Macaca fascicularis: one gene and its partner. The protein of the gene in region 1 binds, or shares a complex with, the protein of each later gene. Links are inferred from orthologs where the notes say so. Each region holds a gene or a part of one and is shown on either strand. Other genes may lie near its edges.

Evidence for each region. The genes of interacting proteins can lie anywhere in the genome.
Region 2: the proteins of KCND3 (region 1) and KCNIP1 are in contact, whole or in part, in a crystal structure (PDB 2NZ0), measured with the Homo sapiens proteins. The link is inferred for Macaca fascicularis from reciprocal best matches to the Homo sapiens genes KCND3 and KCNIP1. Residues at the interface, in NP_001365898.1 of Homo sapiens: Ala6, Ala7, Trp8, Leu9, Pro10, Phe11, Ala12, Arg13, Ala14, Ala15, Ala16, Ile17, Gly18, Trp19, Pro21, Val22, Pro26, Met27, Pro28, Leu29, Ala30, Pro31, Lys34, Lys36, Arg37, Asp39, Trp54; in NP_001030009.1 of Homo sapiens: Leu67, Arg69, Gly70, Phe71, Glu74, Val80, Phe85, Ile88, Tyr89, Phe92, Phe93, Tyr101, Leu105, Phe109, Phe122, Ala125, Leu126, Leu129, Leu130, Leu138, Trp140, Thr141, Leu144, Tyr145, Ile161, Val162, Ile165, Tyr166, Met168, Met169.

Annotation. Positions count from the first base shown.
Region 1 is NC_088375.1:122,369,888-122,377,803, forward strand, and holds the start of KCND3 (A-type voltage-gated potassium channel KCND3), read left to right. Parts: upstream 1-3,149; 5' UTR 3,150-3,388; intron 3,389-7,916. UniProt on the Homo sapiens protein: Pore-forming (alpha) subunit of voltage-gated A-type potassium channels that mediates transmembrane potassium transport in excitable membranes, in brain and heart. In cardiomyocytes, may generate the transient outward potassium current I(To).
Region 2 is NC_088380.1:177,305,821-177,313,580, reverse strand, and holds the start of KCNIP1 (A-type potassium channel modulatory protein KCNIP1), read right to left. Parts: upstream 5,093-7,760; 5' UTR 4,539-5,092; coding exon 4,478-4,538; intron 1-4,477. UniProt on the Homo sapiens protein: Regulatory subunit of Kv4/D (Shal)-type voltage-gated rapidly inactivating A-type potassium channels. Regulates channel density, inactivation kinetics and rate of recovery from inactivation in a calcium-dependent and isoform-specific manner.

The sequences.
Region 1 (7,916 bases):
GGTAGGAGGGACAGCATCTCCTGGGCAGTAGGGCTACTCCAGCTGCCTGAGCCAAGGGGCCTCCTTTCTCCCCATTGCTTGCTCTCATTTTGCAGATCACCTGGTTGTAGGAAGGGCTGGTAAACAAAACTCACACTGGCCTAGACTAGAAATCCCAGTCTTTCCTATTTTCCCTAGATGGTTAAGACAGAAAGGAGAGAATAGTCTACAGCTACCACACTTAAGCAATGAGTTACGAGCTTATGAGGAAAGAGGAGGCAGGTGTCTGGACCAGCGTCTGGTCTTCAAACGGAGCTTACGAGTCTCAGGAGGCCACAACTGTCCCGTTAGTTGACTTTCTGAGGAGAAAAGATGTCCCCAACTGTCTCCTGAGGCCTCCAAACAGTGAGGAAGACTCAACCCCTGAGCTGCCCCCAAGATGCTAAACAACAGAGAGAATGTATAGGAGTTCAAACCTGGGCAGAAAAAAAATATGGGTTTCACTTTCCCGACCTGAACATGGGACGGAGGACTGAAGGAAAGTGCCCCCGCCTCCTGAGTAGTGACCACCCAGGACCCGAGGCACTGTCTCCCCGGGGTCAGAGGAACTGAGGTGTGCAGTTGCCAGAAAATTAGCCCTTCCCCAGAGGGAAGGGAGGAGGGAGGTGGGAGCAGCGCCAGGGCCTTCCCTGAATTCTTCCCCTGTCTGCCAGGGAGTGGCAGTGTTGTTAATCATTATTACTGTATGCAAATCCCACACAGCTCCGGGACTCCTGGCAAACGCTAATGGAGCCCACGCCCACCTCCTGAAGGGCCAATTGTGTACCTTTTAAACTGACAGACTGAAGGGGGCTCCGGAAAAAGTGAGAGTGAGTGAATGAGGGACTCCAAGGTGCCAGGGGCCCACAAAGGCCCAGACCACAATTACCGACTCCCACTCCTTCATCTGGAAGAGGGCTAGGGGTTCTCACAAGCCAGAAGCCCCGTTCCGGATTCAGGGAGGTCGTTTTCCAGCCCTGGGTCTACAGTTGTCCTAGGGTCTAGAACACCCTCGCAGTCTAGAACACCCCCGCGGTCACAACGCACTTTGCGTTCCTCTGCCTCGGCACCCACCTCTCCACACCCAGAAATGTGATCTCTCAAGCCAAGCGTTCCCCGTCCCTGCTGGGGCACCGAGCTGCCTCGCTTCCGGAGCGCCAGGCCGAGATCGGGGGTTCCGGGCACCGAGGCTGGAGACACCGGGAAAGCCGGAGCCGCGGGTCCGCCCAGCGTCTGGGACTGCGCCCTTTGCGCGCCGCCGCCCTGAGGGTGGGAATCTGGGCCGGACACCTGGCCCTGTGGGCCCATGCTGACCTTCCCACTCCCCATCCTGGGTCGACGAGGCACGGGGCAGTGGGGACCCATGGGCTTCATGGAGGGACTGAGGAGCTGGGCGGGCTCCCGTTGGAAGGGGACCGGCTCGGGTGAGAGTTCACGCTCTCAAGTCCAGACTCTCGGTCTGGGTAGTGGGTAGACGTGGCGGAATAGGAGGGCGAATCTCGACCTTCCGATGGTGTCTTCGCCCTCCGAGAGGAGAGCGGCTCATACGTGGGGTTAGAGGCAGTGTGTCCCCTGGGTACCTCTTCAGCCTCTGCACTCGGAGCTGAGAGCCCGGGGCCAGCCGCGAAGCTTGCGCGGTAGGGGGCCCCACCTTGCCAGGTGGCCGGGCTTGGTCTCAGGCAGATGCTGCTGCCCTGTGGACAGTCAGCGAGAAATAGACACACAGCTAGGTGCACACACACCCCACGCGCGCACACGCCGGCGCTCCCTGCCACCTCTCCGTGGGTCCCCAGCCACACACGCCCCCGAACTTACGCTCACGCCGTACTCGCCGCTCCTCCCCACCCCCAAACCCAGCTCACCTTGCCACACTCACCCCCGTGCCCACCCTCGCTGGCACACGCGCTCACACCCGCGTCGGTACACTCCGCCACCTCCAGGCACACCCTAGGATTCCTCCACTCGCCCGGGGAGACGCACCAGGCTCTGCCTCGTTTCCCCACCCCCCGCTCACGCGCGCGCCCCTCTCCACACACACAGACACACACACACGCACTCACACTCTTACACACCCTCGCGCGCGGAGTCACTCCCCCTCGCACGCCCTCGCCCTGGGCACCCTCCCGCGGCGAGACTCCGGGTCCTCCTCCTCTCTCCCTCCGCTGCCTGGCGGCTCGGCTCTCTCCGGCCCGGCGCTCTCCGGCCCGGCCTGGGGCCGCAGGGCCCGCGGGGATCGGAAGAGAGCCGAGGGCGCAGCCTTGCCGCCTCCCCCGGACTCTCCTCTCCTCCCCGCCCCGCCTGCGCCGCGCCCCCACCACCTCCCCCCTCGGGAAAGGGACCTCGAGAGAGGCAGCCCGTGGCCGGCCGGGCTCCGCTCGGCGCGGCGCCGGCAGCGGCGGGGGCAGGGAGCGAGCGAGGGAGCCCGCGAGCCCGCGAGCGGAGCGGCGAGGCGGGGAGGGGACGCACTGCCGAGCCGGGGCTGGAGCGGCGGAGGCTGAGGCTGCGGCAGCGGCGGCGGCGGCAGTGGCGGCGGCAGTGGCGGCGGCAGTGGCGGCGGCAGTGGCGGCGGCAGTGGCGGCGGGGGAGGGAGGGCCCCACGGACGGACGGACGCACGAACCGACCGAGCGAGGGAGGCAGCGAGCGAGACTTCGCTGGCGAGGAGGAGCCGCGCAAGCGGCGGCTGCTGGGCGCTTCCCCGCGCTGCTGGGCGCTCGGCGCCTCCGCGGCCCCCGGCTCCCGGCTGCAGCTTCCTCGCGCGCGCGGGGCGCCGGGCGCGGGGCCCGGGCTGGCTTCGCGGAAGGTAAGAGGGACGCGACCGAGCCTTCTGGAGCCAGGAAGTGCGAGGAGCGCTGCTCCCACGCCTGTTGCTCCGGCTGCCCACGCGGCACCCTCCCACTCCCGCGCCCGGGTGGGTGGGCGCTGGGGCGCCGGAAGGATTGGGGGTGGGGCCCGTGCCGTGGGGGAGCAGGCAGCCGGCCCGGGGGCGTCGGTTCCCTCGGGCTATGGAGCCACCTCCGGGCAGCCAGGCGCTGGGGTTCGGGGGTGGGGTGTGAACCTCTGCCCTCTTTCCATTGGCCTGTCTTCCCTCGGCGGGTGCCAGAGACAGGTGGCGAAGGCTTGCTCCGTCCCCGCTCTTGGTGAGGGGAGAAGGAGAGAAATGGCTGAAAGTGGAAACCGGGAGCGGTTTGGGGCGCTTCGCAAAGTTCTCCAGCCCGGCGAGCCGGCGGTGTGTCTACCAGAGGCTGGGGGCCAGTCCGTCTGGTCCTGCCCGACGCCGCTTCCACCCCGCGAGCTCTGGGAAAGGTCTCTACGTGACGCCAAGGGCCGTCGAGGCCCGGGGAAGGGGGATCGAAAGACTCACTTTGCGAGGTGTTTACATTGGAGGTGGGGGACGGGAAGGGACTGGGCAAAGTTACCTGGACTCAACTAAATTCCTGCGCTTGCTTAGTGTCGACATTTGAATACGATCCAAGATGTTCTGCCTTTATTCCGGGCAGCCCTGATATGTCAGCAACAGGCTGAGGTTCCAGACCTGAAATCGCACAGCAAGAAAAAGGGTCCGTGTATTTCTTAAGAGAGAGCGTCTGAACTTTCTCGGGGTCCTAGGCACAATGCGATGTTTGTAAGACCAGGCATGCGTTGCTGTATTTTGCATGAATGTACGTGATGGTTAAATGTATGCCTTGTTTACCTTACTTCGAGGGAGCCTGTATGTTTACTGTCTGTAGAAAGGGCTCCTGGGTGTGCACGAATTCAATACAAAGCATGTGTACATTTCCCCATGTGGACCTGTTGGCCCACAGGAAGGGAATTGATGTGTTTATTTTTTCCTTGTCTCTACTTGAATGCAACAAAATGCAAGTATACAAGGGACCCCTCTCCCCCACCCCCAGAGAAAGAGGTTGGTAGCTTGTTCCCTTTTGCTCTTAAGGAGGCTGGAGAAAAAGAGTTCAGGAAAGTGCCCTGGCTAGCCTAGGAGTGGCACTGTTGGAGAAGAGGATCTGTGCGTGTGTCCCAAGCCTGTCCCCCAAGGATCCCCAGCTTGTTTCACCTTGTCAGTTTCATGCTTTGCCTACCAAAATCCTGTGAACACAGGAGAAGCCCTCTGGGTCATGGGCACCTTCCGCTGCCCCCAGACCAGCCCTATTCTGAGCTAAGGGATGTGATGTGAGATTGTGGAAAGTAACTTTCCAGATGCTCTCCACTGAGGTCATTGAAGGACAGACCTTGGTGACATGACTTTTTTTGCTGCCTTATGCCTGTACTCAGCTAGGTGTCAAACCCCAGGACAGGCTGTCTGGTCACTCCGCCCACTTTTGGCCTTTTACCTCCAAAACAGAAGCTGTTTAATGGAGTAACTGACTTTTTACAGCAGGGGAAAATGTTTTCCTTTGCCAGGATTTGTCACCTTTTTCATTTCAGAGCTTACCTGTTTTGAATGTCTCTTTTCCAGCCTGCCCCCACCCCCTATCTTTCCCACTGTCAAACTCTTCTGCCAAAAACAAAAATAGCTTCAGATTTTTCATTTGTAAGGCGTCCACGTCCTAGTAAAACCTTGGCATTTGAGGCATGTGCAGTGCCATTGGCTGGAAATGGGGCCGCACTGTTGTGCCTGTTGCAGGAATTCATACCCAGGCCAGCTCCGGAAGGTGTTGGTTCCTGTCAGGGTGCGAACCCTGCTGTATAAGCCATGGAGAAGGCCTACTTGAGTGGGTCATTCCTGCAGGGTTGTGGGGTGGATATGGCCAGTGTAGCCTTGGGTATGTTGTCTGGTGGGACACTTGTCCTCCCCTTTCGCCCTCCAACCCCCACACACAGAGAAAGTAACAATGGGGTAATTGCTCCTTTTTTGGTATGTTTTACCAGGGGGACAGCGGCTGAGCCTCTGGAGGCAGGCAGGTGCTTGCTTGGCCTTCTTTAGGAAGATTGCCCTGGATTCATGCATCGGGTAAACATTTGGCCTTGGGACTGGAAGCTTTTATGGTCTCAAGATAGGGAGGGGTTAATTTTTCCTTCTCCTGAGCTCTCAATTATTCATCTGAAAGCAGTTTGTAAAACACTACCGGTTTTTGGAGATTGGCTTAGGGTAGAGAGGAGAAGGTGATGAGACTCAGCTTGGCAGGGGCAGGTATTAAAACTTGGGAATCCGGGTAGAGCAGGACTAGGAGAATGAAAGGGGAAGGGCATCACCCTCTCAGGGGGCAGAACTCTGTGTCTGGCCACACAGGGTTCCACAGGGTGCCTGTAATTCAGTGGTCTCTTACTTTTTGCCTCTTGAACCCCCTCAAGATTCTGCCTCTCTGAGCTTTATTCTGGGATGAAACAGGATGTTAAAGATCAAAGGTCCAGGGCTGAGAGTCTGGGAACTTGGTCTCCTTTACTCTCTAGGAAGGTGGCCAAGGGTCTGTGGGTAGACCAGGCCTTGAATTGCCCCTGGGTACCAAGTGACACAGGTTATGTGCCCTGTGCAGAGCACCAACCTCAGCAGGAATTCCCAGAACTCCCTTTGCTACCTTGAGGCTCAGGCTAACTCCATCCTCACAGCAACAAGCCCAGATGCTCTACTTCCTTCTTTGCATGGGTGACTGTCATTAAGAGGTCTGAATGAGAACTAAGTTACAGACTTGATGTCCTGGATCCAGTGGAATCAGGGATCATTTGAGCCAAATGGTCTTTTGTCACGTTTCTGTCCAATTCTCAATTTACAGAGGAGGACTCTGAGGCCCAGAGGGTGATCATGGCTTGCTTTCACAAATTGAGGGTGGGATTGAAACTGGAATTGCAAGGCCTCATGAGCCCTTGCTCATTGCTGCCTGGGGAAGATAGGGAAAGGAGTCTCTGCATCTTGCTGTCTTCTGTTGGGAATATCAGTATTGGGCAACACCTAGATCAGGAAAGCCAGTTGGCAGTGAGGTGATCAATGGTCTATTTGAAAATTGTCAGCTCCTATATATACATAGAACTTAGCCACTTTGAAGGAGACTTCTGAACTTCCCTCTCCTTACCTGTAAGCTTTGGGCAGAAAAGCCTCTATCATAGGATTTTAGTGGGAATAAATTAAATATTGTGTGTAAAAGTGTCTCAGACAGTGTCCAGAGCATTGTCGGTGCTCAATAAATGTAACCAACTCTGAATTGGAATCACCTGTGAACAGAGTTGAACTTGTGGACTTGCTTCTCAAACATCCCTTGCCCATTAGAAATAAATCCTAGCTAAGTGCATGCTGAGGAACTACTAAGTCTCCTAATCCTAAACAAAGTATAGTTAGAAGGGTAAATTTCTTCTAGAAAGAAATACAATGCAGGATGTGTTCCCGACTCGTCTATCAGTAGCATGTGAATTACCCACTGCCATGCATGAACGACCTCCATTCTTTCCTCAGTTCCTCGGTTCCAGTAATCAGGAGCTCATCAGGCCTGTGCTGTTTTTCTGTTCTGAGCAGTGACACTTACGGGAAATGTCATTGTCATTCCTGTTATCTTCTGTAGCATCTGACTCAACCTCCCTTTATTAGAGAGAGAAGGGCCCTGTGACAATTCCCTTTAGCATGCAGATGGGGAAACTGAGGCAGAGATTGGCTTCTTTAGAAAACTTGACTGAGTCAGAGGCAGATACTTGAATTGGATTCTTTTGATTCAGATCTGTCTTCAGATTTTACTGTCTGTTTGGAGACAGAACGCTCACCCTTGGCAACCCCTGAAATATATTAGCAAGGCATAGAGTAAAGTTAATGGGGAAAAAATGGCACCTATAAAACTGGGGTCCCAGCTCAAGCACCTACTGATGCAGTGCACTATGCTGCCTTCTGGGTTGTGATATGAAAGTGGAGGCATCTCGGCCTTTGCCCAGAAGAGCTTAGCGTGGGATAGGGAAGGTTGGGGAGTGGTCTGGCTGTACTCTTGAACTCCACATTGAGTCTGCCTGGCTTTAATGGCTGCGCCTACTTATTACATCCTTTAGACAATTATTACAACTCCTTATGCTTCATCTTTCTTTTGTAGAAAAAATATGGCCTACAGTGGTGTCTACTCCTCAGGGTTGTTGGTGAGATCTCTTGAGATGCTCAATGTAAGTGTGTGGTACTGTGCCCGGCACACCGTCAGCCCTCAGCAGACTGCCTGAGGTGGAATCCCTATTCTGCCGCTTTGGGGTTGTTAGACTGCTATGTCTCAGTAAGCTTTAGCTTTCCTTATCTATGAAATGGGGGACACAACAGACTCTTCTTCCTAGGGTTGCTGTGAGGGTTAAATGAGATAATCTATGGGAGATAGTTAGTGTAATGCCTTGCATAGTGTAAGTGCTCAATTGTTAGTCATTGTTAATAATATGTGTATAAAGTATGTGTAATCCTAGCTGTGGGGTGATAGGTGCTAGGGAAGAGGGCAAACAATAAGTCAAGACCCCAGAGGAAGAAGAGAATCTCATAGTGGGGAGAGGAGAAGGCATCACAGAGAGGGTGATGAATAGGTAGGATTCTAATAGGAGGGTTCCAGGGGAAGGATATTCTCATGAGAAGGAAGAGTGGTCCAGAGGCAGACCTCCCCAGGGTCTGTCCATGAACAGGTCTTGGTCTTATTGCTGGAGACTAGGACGGGTACCTGGGCCATTGGGCTGGAGTATGAAGCTAGGATCTATTTGTGGGAATACTGGAATGCCAGGCCAGGAGTTTGGACTTTATTTTGTAGGTCATGGGGTAACATACAATCAGAACCTTGCTTTAGGGAGATAACACTGAGCAGAATGGATTTCAGGGGAACAGGAGAAACCGGGTGGGGTGTGAGAGTGAGCGACAAGAAGGTCCATGGGAAGGAGGCCCGAGGGACTTTGGGCCTTCATGAGGGCAGTAAGAGCTATTGCCTATTATTTGGCAACTCTTTAGAGAAAAATGGTCAAGGTG
Region 2 (7,760 bases), on another chromosome or scaffold:
AACAGAATTCATTCCCGGTAGAGGGCTGGTAACTGAAATTCCAGCGGGAAACTAACTTTTCCCACAGGGTCTGCAATTCTAGAAAATAATGGAGAGTGGCCAACCATGCCATTGTTTATAATTTCCTCTAGAAAATTTTTTATTAAGTACCTACTATGTGCACAGAACCAAGCAGAGAGTTGTGAAGGATGAGTTAGATGAACTCCTACCCCAAGAACCCTGCCCTCTGGTGGAGGGGAAAGGGGGTTAACATCTTCACTGATTGTCTAATTCCAAACACGATTGTGAGTCATAAGAAAACGTATGCCTTAAAAGAATACGGGAATTCGGATGGGAGAAGTCACTTCTCTCTGGGGCTTGGAGAAGGCTTCCTGAATGTGGAAACTGCTGAGTGAGGTCTTGGAATGTGCATGGAATTTTAACTATTAGACAAGGTAGCAAGGGGTGGCGTGGGAGAGTATTACAGAATTAAAAGGACAGGCAAAGATGCAAAGATGGGTAAAGACCAAAGCACAAACATTTCTATAAATCAGGATTCTCCTTTTGCAGATAAAGAAACTAGCATTTACAAGCTAAAATGACTTGCCATACAGGACTATGTGACAACAGGACCACTGCTTCTCTATGCCTTTCTGTCTCTTGTCACCCTCCCAGATCTTTAGGTTGAAAATACTGCCTTGACCGATAAACCCTAAACCCAGCCTCATCAGGTGCACTCTGCTTTCATAAGTTCCCTGAGGTGCTCATTGATCTAGGAGCAAATATGGGACTATTAGGAACATTCCCATGTTTGGCCCTATATTAACCAGTACCATATTAACTCACCACGTGGCCTTAGAAAAAGCATCTGATAGCCATGGAGTTGAGTTTACTCACCTATGCTATGACTATTCTGGAGATCCGAAGCTCAGCCCTTTCAGAAAGTTCTGCATGCTTGCACTCGGTCATGGAGGATTTCTAACTCAGCCACCCCTGCAGTGTGGGATTATTTGCTAGTAGGCAGTTCTCTATTGAGATGGCCTTGATCTAGTGATGTTGTCCCTAAATTCTCCTGCCCCCCCTCGACAAGCCCGGCAGTTGCACCTGTATGGTCCTCCTCTGGTTCTCCTCAATGCCCTAGCCTGTCTCACTTGCCCATTCAAGGCCAGGAGCAGTGTCCTTGGTGTGTCATGCACATGCAAAACTGCTAGAGCCAGAAATTCTCTCTGGGACTGGGATGCAGAGGCTGAATCCCAAAAGCAGGGCTCTTCTACTTTTAATTAAAGACACACAAAGATCCCAAACAGAGAGAAGGACAGGAAGTGAACCTGAATATTTTTATTCAGTGGCATGGCTCTTAAATTACTTTAGATTTCTGTTGCCTTTAGAGAGCTCTCTCTGAACACCAGGTTGGGCTGGATATCTTCTTGCAGCACTAATCATGCAGAGTTTTTGCCCCATTTAAAAACGATGTATGTTTCTAAATTGTATTATCAAAGCATTCAGGATTTTAATTGAGCAGGCTTTGATGTTTTCAGGACAAGCCACAGAGTAGAGGTCAGTGAGGGCCGAAGCAAGGGACGAGCATCTGTGTGCCTGGGTTTTTGGTCCTAGTTATCTGGATAGGGCTGGATAAGGTTTCCAGAAATGAGCTGTTAAGACTCTCAGATGTACTGCCTACTTGGAAAATGGCCTTACTCTGGACGTTTGGAAGCCCCAAACAATAGAGCCACAAATTGAATAGTACCTAAAATTTGCAGACCACTTATAGCTCAGAGCTGTGCTAAATGCTTGACTTGCATGATCCTTGAAATCCACACAACACAACAGCTATTTTAAGATGGTAACTACTACTACCCCTGTTTTATAGTTGAGGAAAACAAGGCTTAGTCATCCAGCTAGTAAGTGGCAGAGCCTGAATTTGAACCCAGCAGGGAGACTGATTCCTGAGTTGAAAAATCCCAACTGCTCTCTTCTGACCGCTTCTAATTAGATCTGAGCCTCACGTCTCTGAGATCATAGCAGCAGCTCTGGTGAGAGCATCAACCACAAAAATATTAGAATTTGAGAACCAAATGGAACCTGAGGAAATGCCTAATGTGAATTTCTCCTTTTACAAAGAAGAAACTGGGACCCCAGTGGGGAAAAGTGACCTGGCCAGGATAGGATCCCTGACCACTAGCCTCCCCAGCCAGGACTCCCTCCAGGTTTCCAAGCTGCTTCCCATAGAAGGGTCTTCTGCTGATTAGCATTCCACTGTGCAAGGCAGTGAGATGACTCTGCTCCGGGGGCAAATGCCTGGGGGAACATATGCAGCTGGACCCCTGGACAACTCACGCCAGTGTCACAGGCTTTGTGCAGGAAAGGCTGAGTGCTCAGTGCTTTGGTAGCTTGTCTTGGGAGTCCACCCATTGGCCCCGAACCTGCCATGAGTCTCAAACAAACATTGTTGTGAGAGTTAAATGAGAGTTGTTGATAAAACACCTAGCACTATGGCAAGCACATAGTAGGGGCACACTAAATGCTAGTACCCCCTCTTCTCTTTCTTTGAATCTGAGACAGAAGCAAAGACCTTTGTACTTCGGGAATCCTGCAGGAATTCATCCAGGGTAAATTCCTGGATGTTTGGGGCAGGAGAAGGAAATGGTAGACAGCAATGCCTGAGCTCTTACTCTTTCCCCAGCCCTATGCAAAGAGCTCCGTATTCATCATTCATTCAATTCTCACATCCTTACAACAACTTCCTCTGGGTCCCTGGTGGCTGCAGCCAACACAGAATATGAAGCCGAGTCCCCCCTTCCTTGACTTCCTGCATAACCAGTTTCCTTCCAGGAAGTAGCATACGAATTTTATGGATGAAAACCTGAGGCTTAGGGAGGTGGGGGGACTCGCCTAACGTTCCAGAGGCAGGGAATGATAGAGCTGGGATTCATACCCAGACTCAACTTGAATCTAGGGCCTGAGATCTTTCTGTGACACCCAGCTCCCAGGAGAGCCACAGGCATGCAAAATATTTAAAAACAAGCCCCTGACTTTCCTGTCCCCACAGTCCCCTGGCCTCTGAGACCGCATGGTGGCCAGACAGGTGATGAGGGAGAAGACCTAGATTTGGTGCTGAAAATTGTCTCCAGTCAAGCAGCATCCCAGGATCTGCAAGAGGTGAGGCTTGGAGTGTCAAGGCCTTGGGCTGAGCTTTGCAGACCTGTTCTGGTCAGGACTGGTAAAAGGGCAACCAGTCCCATCCTTGCCAGCAGGACGTGTAACTCAGCTGGACAAATGGGTCAAAGCCTCTTCCTATGTTCTAGGCTGTAAATGTCAACCCAGCTTCAGCACCTAAGATCTGCACCCAGAGATCGCTTTCCTTGGGGCTCAGCCAGCCTGATGCTTCTGGGATCTAGGCCAGAAGCTGGGACCCCTTCTTCCAGGGGGTTTCAGGGACAGTTTACTTGCGTAGATCTCTGTGGTTCTAACCAGGGTGAGACCAACCGCGTTCTAAGAGGAGAAGGGGTCCCTTACCCCCATTGCACTTCTACTCACTATCGGGCATATAGGGTAGGAGCTGTAACTCCCACCTGTATCCAGGATGGGGGCTCCGATGGTAGAACTTGAATGTTTAAGTGTCAAAGCTACTTAAAATCTTACCACTCATAGTGACATTCGAACATTAAACAAAACAAAACCCATCATTTCCCGTTTCCTAACTGCTTCCAGTCTCTTTATTCCAGCAACTAACTTTCGAACTGCTGGTAAGGAGACCTGCATTGTCCTCCAGGGCCCAACACACTAGTTTCAACTTCATCTGGACCCATTTGAGGACTCTCTCACAGGTGGTGAGATCAGCTATGCCTCGGCTGGGGACAGGTGGTGATGGAACAGCGTCCAGGCAGAAGAGACTCCAGGATATTATGCTTTAAATCCTTGCTGTAAGCTCAGCTCCCAGCCAGCCCTTCACGGTTGCTCCTCCTGACTCCCGGAGCCACCAGGACATAAGGCCTGGGAGTTTTACCCCTGGCAGTAGCTGATTCCTTTTGGCTTGCAGAGGTTTCGGGGGTGCAGACAGAGCACTCTTCCTGATGAAGGGACTCGCAGGTCTGTACCTGGCATAGCCGCCTGGGAGGAGTGTGGGAGTGTGGGAGCACCCTCCCTGAGTGCTCAAACGCCAGCTGTCACACACACTTCCACCAGAGAATCCGGTCACCCCACCTGTGAACGTGCTTCTTCCTTCGGCTCCCAGAGATTTCCCCAGGAGAAGAGTCCCGGCGCCTGGTGCCCCAGAGGGGTCCAGTCGCCGATGGGGCAAACGTCCACTCTGGCTCCCTCCTCTGGTGTTCACACCAACCCTCCCACCGGTTTCTCTCTCCTTTGGATACAATCACCTGTCCGGGCTCCTGGTGGAGAGGGGAGTCCGGACTAAGGGAGGCAGGTGGCACACCCCACCTCGGCGCCCAGCACCCCCAAACCCAGACAGGGGAACAAAAGGAAGAAGGAGGTCGCTTACCTTTCGAGGGTCGCCTTTGTTTGGTTTGCAGAGATGAGAAGGTGCCCATGACGGCCCCCATGGCGGCGAAGACTTGTGTGCGAGTTGGGACCCCGGGCCCTGCCCCTCCCCTTCCCTGGAAAGAAATCCCCGTGGTTTGTCTACTCTGAATTGGAGGAGAGAAAAGCGACCGGCAGCTCGCCCGCAGCTTGGTATTCAGCGAGCGTGGAGCCGAGGCTAGGAGGTTTCTGGATTCCTTCTTCAGCCCGGCACATGCAGGGACTCAGGGCTAGCTGCTCCCCGCCAGCCTTCGGAACCGCTTCCCCGCGCGAGGACTCGGCCCGGCCGGTTCCCTCGCCCAGGGCCGAGGACGGTGCCCTGAAGCCTGCCTGGCACTGGACACGGGGCCAGCGCGCCCGCCCGGCCAAGGCTGCCGAGCCAGCGCCGCGTGCGGTGCGGGAGCCGCGGTCCGCCCGCCCCTCCTGCCGCACGCTCGGCTCCCCTCCCGGCGCTCGGGCTGGGTCTCGGAGGGCCGAGTACCAATCATGAATGAACAGAGCCCGGACCGCGCGGCGCGGAGCCACAGCGCGCCCGCCCGCTGCCTGCTGCCTGCCGCCAGCGCTCGGGGCGAGAGTCGGAGCCGCGGAGGGGGCGGCGGGCTGGCAACTGCGGAGGGGCGGGGCGGGGGCGAGGGCTGCACGGTGGGGGCGGGGGACACCCGGCCCTGCGCCCTCACCCTCGCGCACCCTCATCCGCCCGGGGTCTGCGCGGGACCCCCAGGAGCATGCGACCCTAAGAGACAGATCCGGGGCCAGGTACCTGGCTGATGGGTGCGGTTCAGGGGGCAGTAGGTTGAGTGGCCCCAGGGAGACTCTGTGTGTGTGTGTGTGTGTGTGTGTGTGATGTGCGCGCGTGCGTGTGTGTGTGTTCCTGTGTGTGGTGCATTGTGATTTCATTTGACTTCAAGGGAAATCTTATTTAACCCACTGCCTGAACTCATGGGGAGGGGGAAAGTCGGCCCCACCCAGAAAGGGGTGAAAAACACATCCAAATGGATGGTCACAGCAAGAAGGTGCCGTCCTGCTCCACGGGTCCTTGAGGGTTCTGCAGAATTCTCCCATGGCAGGGCCCACCTTCTACTGACAGGAAGTTGGGGAGAAGAAAGGAGCCCTCAGCCCCTCTGAGCCTTTACACTCCCAGTTTTCTTTTTCTGTTTTTTTGAGATGGAGTCTCGCTCTGTTGCCCAGGCTGGAGTGCAATGGCGCGATCTCTGCTCACTGCAACCTCTGCCTCCCAGATTTAAGTGATTCTCCTGCCTCAGCCTCTGGAGTAGCTGGGATTACAGGCGCCCACCACCAGGCCCAGATAAATTTTTTTGTATTTTTTAGTATAGATGGGGTTTCGCCATATTGGCCAGGCTGGGCTTGAACTCCTGACCTCAGGTGATCCACCCGCCTCGGCCTCCCAAAGTGCTAGGATTACAGGCAAGAGCCATCGCACCCAGACTGCTCTCTCGTTTTTCTGTTTCTTTCCTCCTTGGTTCTCCCTCTTCTCCCTTTCCAGCTCAAAAATTTATTAGCCATCAGCTCCTGGCACGGGTTGTTAGTGCTTGAAGGGGCAATGATTAGATTCAGGAAGCCATTTCCCTTCTGTGGGTGGCTTCTCACCCAAAGGGCAAAGTTTGCGTCCCTGCCTGTGAACTCAAAGCCGTGTGGTGTTGAAATGCAAGATTTGCTCCCTGGAAGGTGGAGGAAGAGCTTCCCTCCCCCAAGTCTGAGCTGCTTGGGTTCCCACTGAGACCCATTGTGACACCAAGAATCCTTTACCCAAGCTGGCCCCCACACTCCCACCTGGTGATTTTCTCTCTGCCACACAGATACACACCATGTTAGCAGTTCACAGAATGCCCGGACATATGGCCTCATAAACAAGCATGCATGCCCATAAAGTCCCACAAACATATGGGCGCAGCTCCTTAAGTCCACACAGACATTGCTATTGTACACACAGACAGACCCAAGGCTCATAATACACCTACAGTTGCCGCCCACAAAGATGGAGAGACACACAAACACACAGGCATGCAGATGCACACACAGTGCAAAACTGCATCACAGTCACCACATTCACACAGGCTGAACGACACACAGGCACAGAGTTGAATCCCCAGGATACAAGCCCCTTGAGAGCTGCTTCCCCTAATGCCAGCCCATGAGCTGTCCGCTCAGGGCCACAGGTGGCCTGTGACTTGGCCAGGGTCCCTGAATAGTTTTCTTCACCTATGCAGCATTTAATGCTTTTCTGCAATTCCAGCATGTGTCCTGTTTTGTGCAACAGGGGAGGTGTGCTTACGAACATACTTCCTTTCCTTTGCATTGCCAACTGCTGTGCAACCACATTGTCCACGTGATGCCCACCAAAGCCCTGTGAATTAAGCAGGTGCCTGACCATCACCACAGAGAGAAATTGAGGCTTACCTAGTGTTAGAAATTTGCCTGAAGTTGCCCAACCAGGATGTGGGATTAGAAGTTGGTTTCCAGGCCTCTGTCATGGTCTCCTGGGGAATCCCCTGCTCACAGATGAGGGCACTGAGCCAGAAAGACCTGCTGGGAGTCCCATCAGATTCACAGCCTCTGCTCTCCTAACTGCCAGCTCAGGGCTTGTCCAGGCCAGGGAAGCCTTGAATCCTGGAAGACGGGGCAGGGGCTGGTCCCTGCTTCCCTCCTGCCTTCTCTGTTGGGGAAGAGGGCGTGTGAGGCTGAAGCTCGGGGTCACTAGAGGACCAAGTAGGATGTCCAGGATTCAGGGAACAGAGGAGAGCCCTTTGCCGAGGAGAAGGTGAAGCCACCCTGGGTGTCTTTGCCAACTTCTCCAGGACACCACTGTGGGAGCACCAAGCTACCTCCCCCTCGGGGCTCTGCTAATTTTCATGGTACCTGAATGACCATAAGGACAGCACTTGAGAGGTCACAAAAGTCTCGAATGTCATCCTCTCATTTCTGCTTCCCCACAACCCACTGAAGAAGCAGAGTACAGATGACTTGCTCCATTTTGCAGATCAGAAATAGCAAAGTGCTTCTGGATGTGTTTGCCATTGGCTGCCTCTGAACAGTAGGTGTAAAGTGAAGTCACCAAAATAAAATCCAAACCATTGAACATGAATCATGAGGTCTTTTTTGTGGCCTGTGGCTTCTTCTACAAATCCTCCCTGACTCCGGTGCTCCCTCTGTGGCTCAGCCTACCAGACCCCTCACTATTTCTCAGATGTGTGTTGTGGTTCTGCTTCAGGGCCTTTGCACGTGCT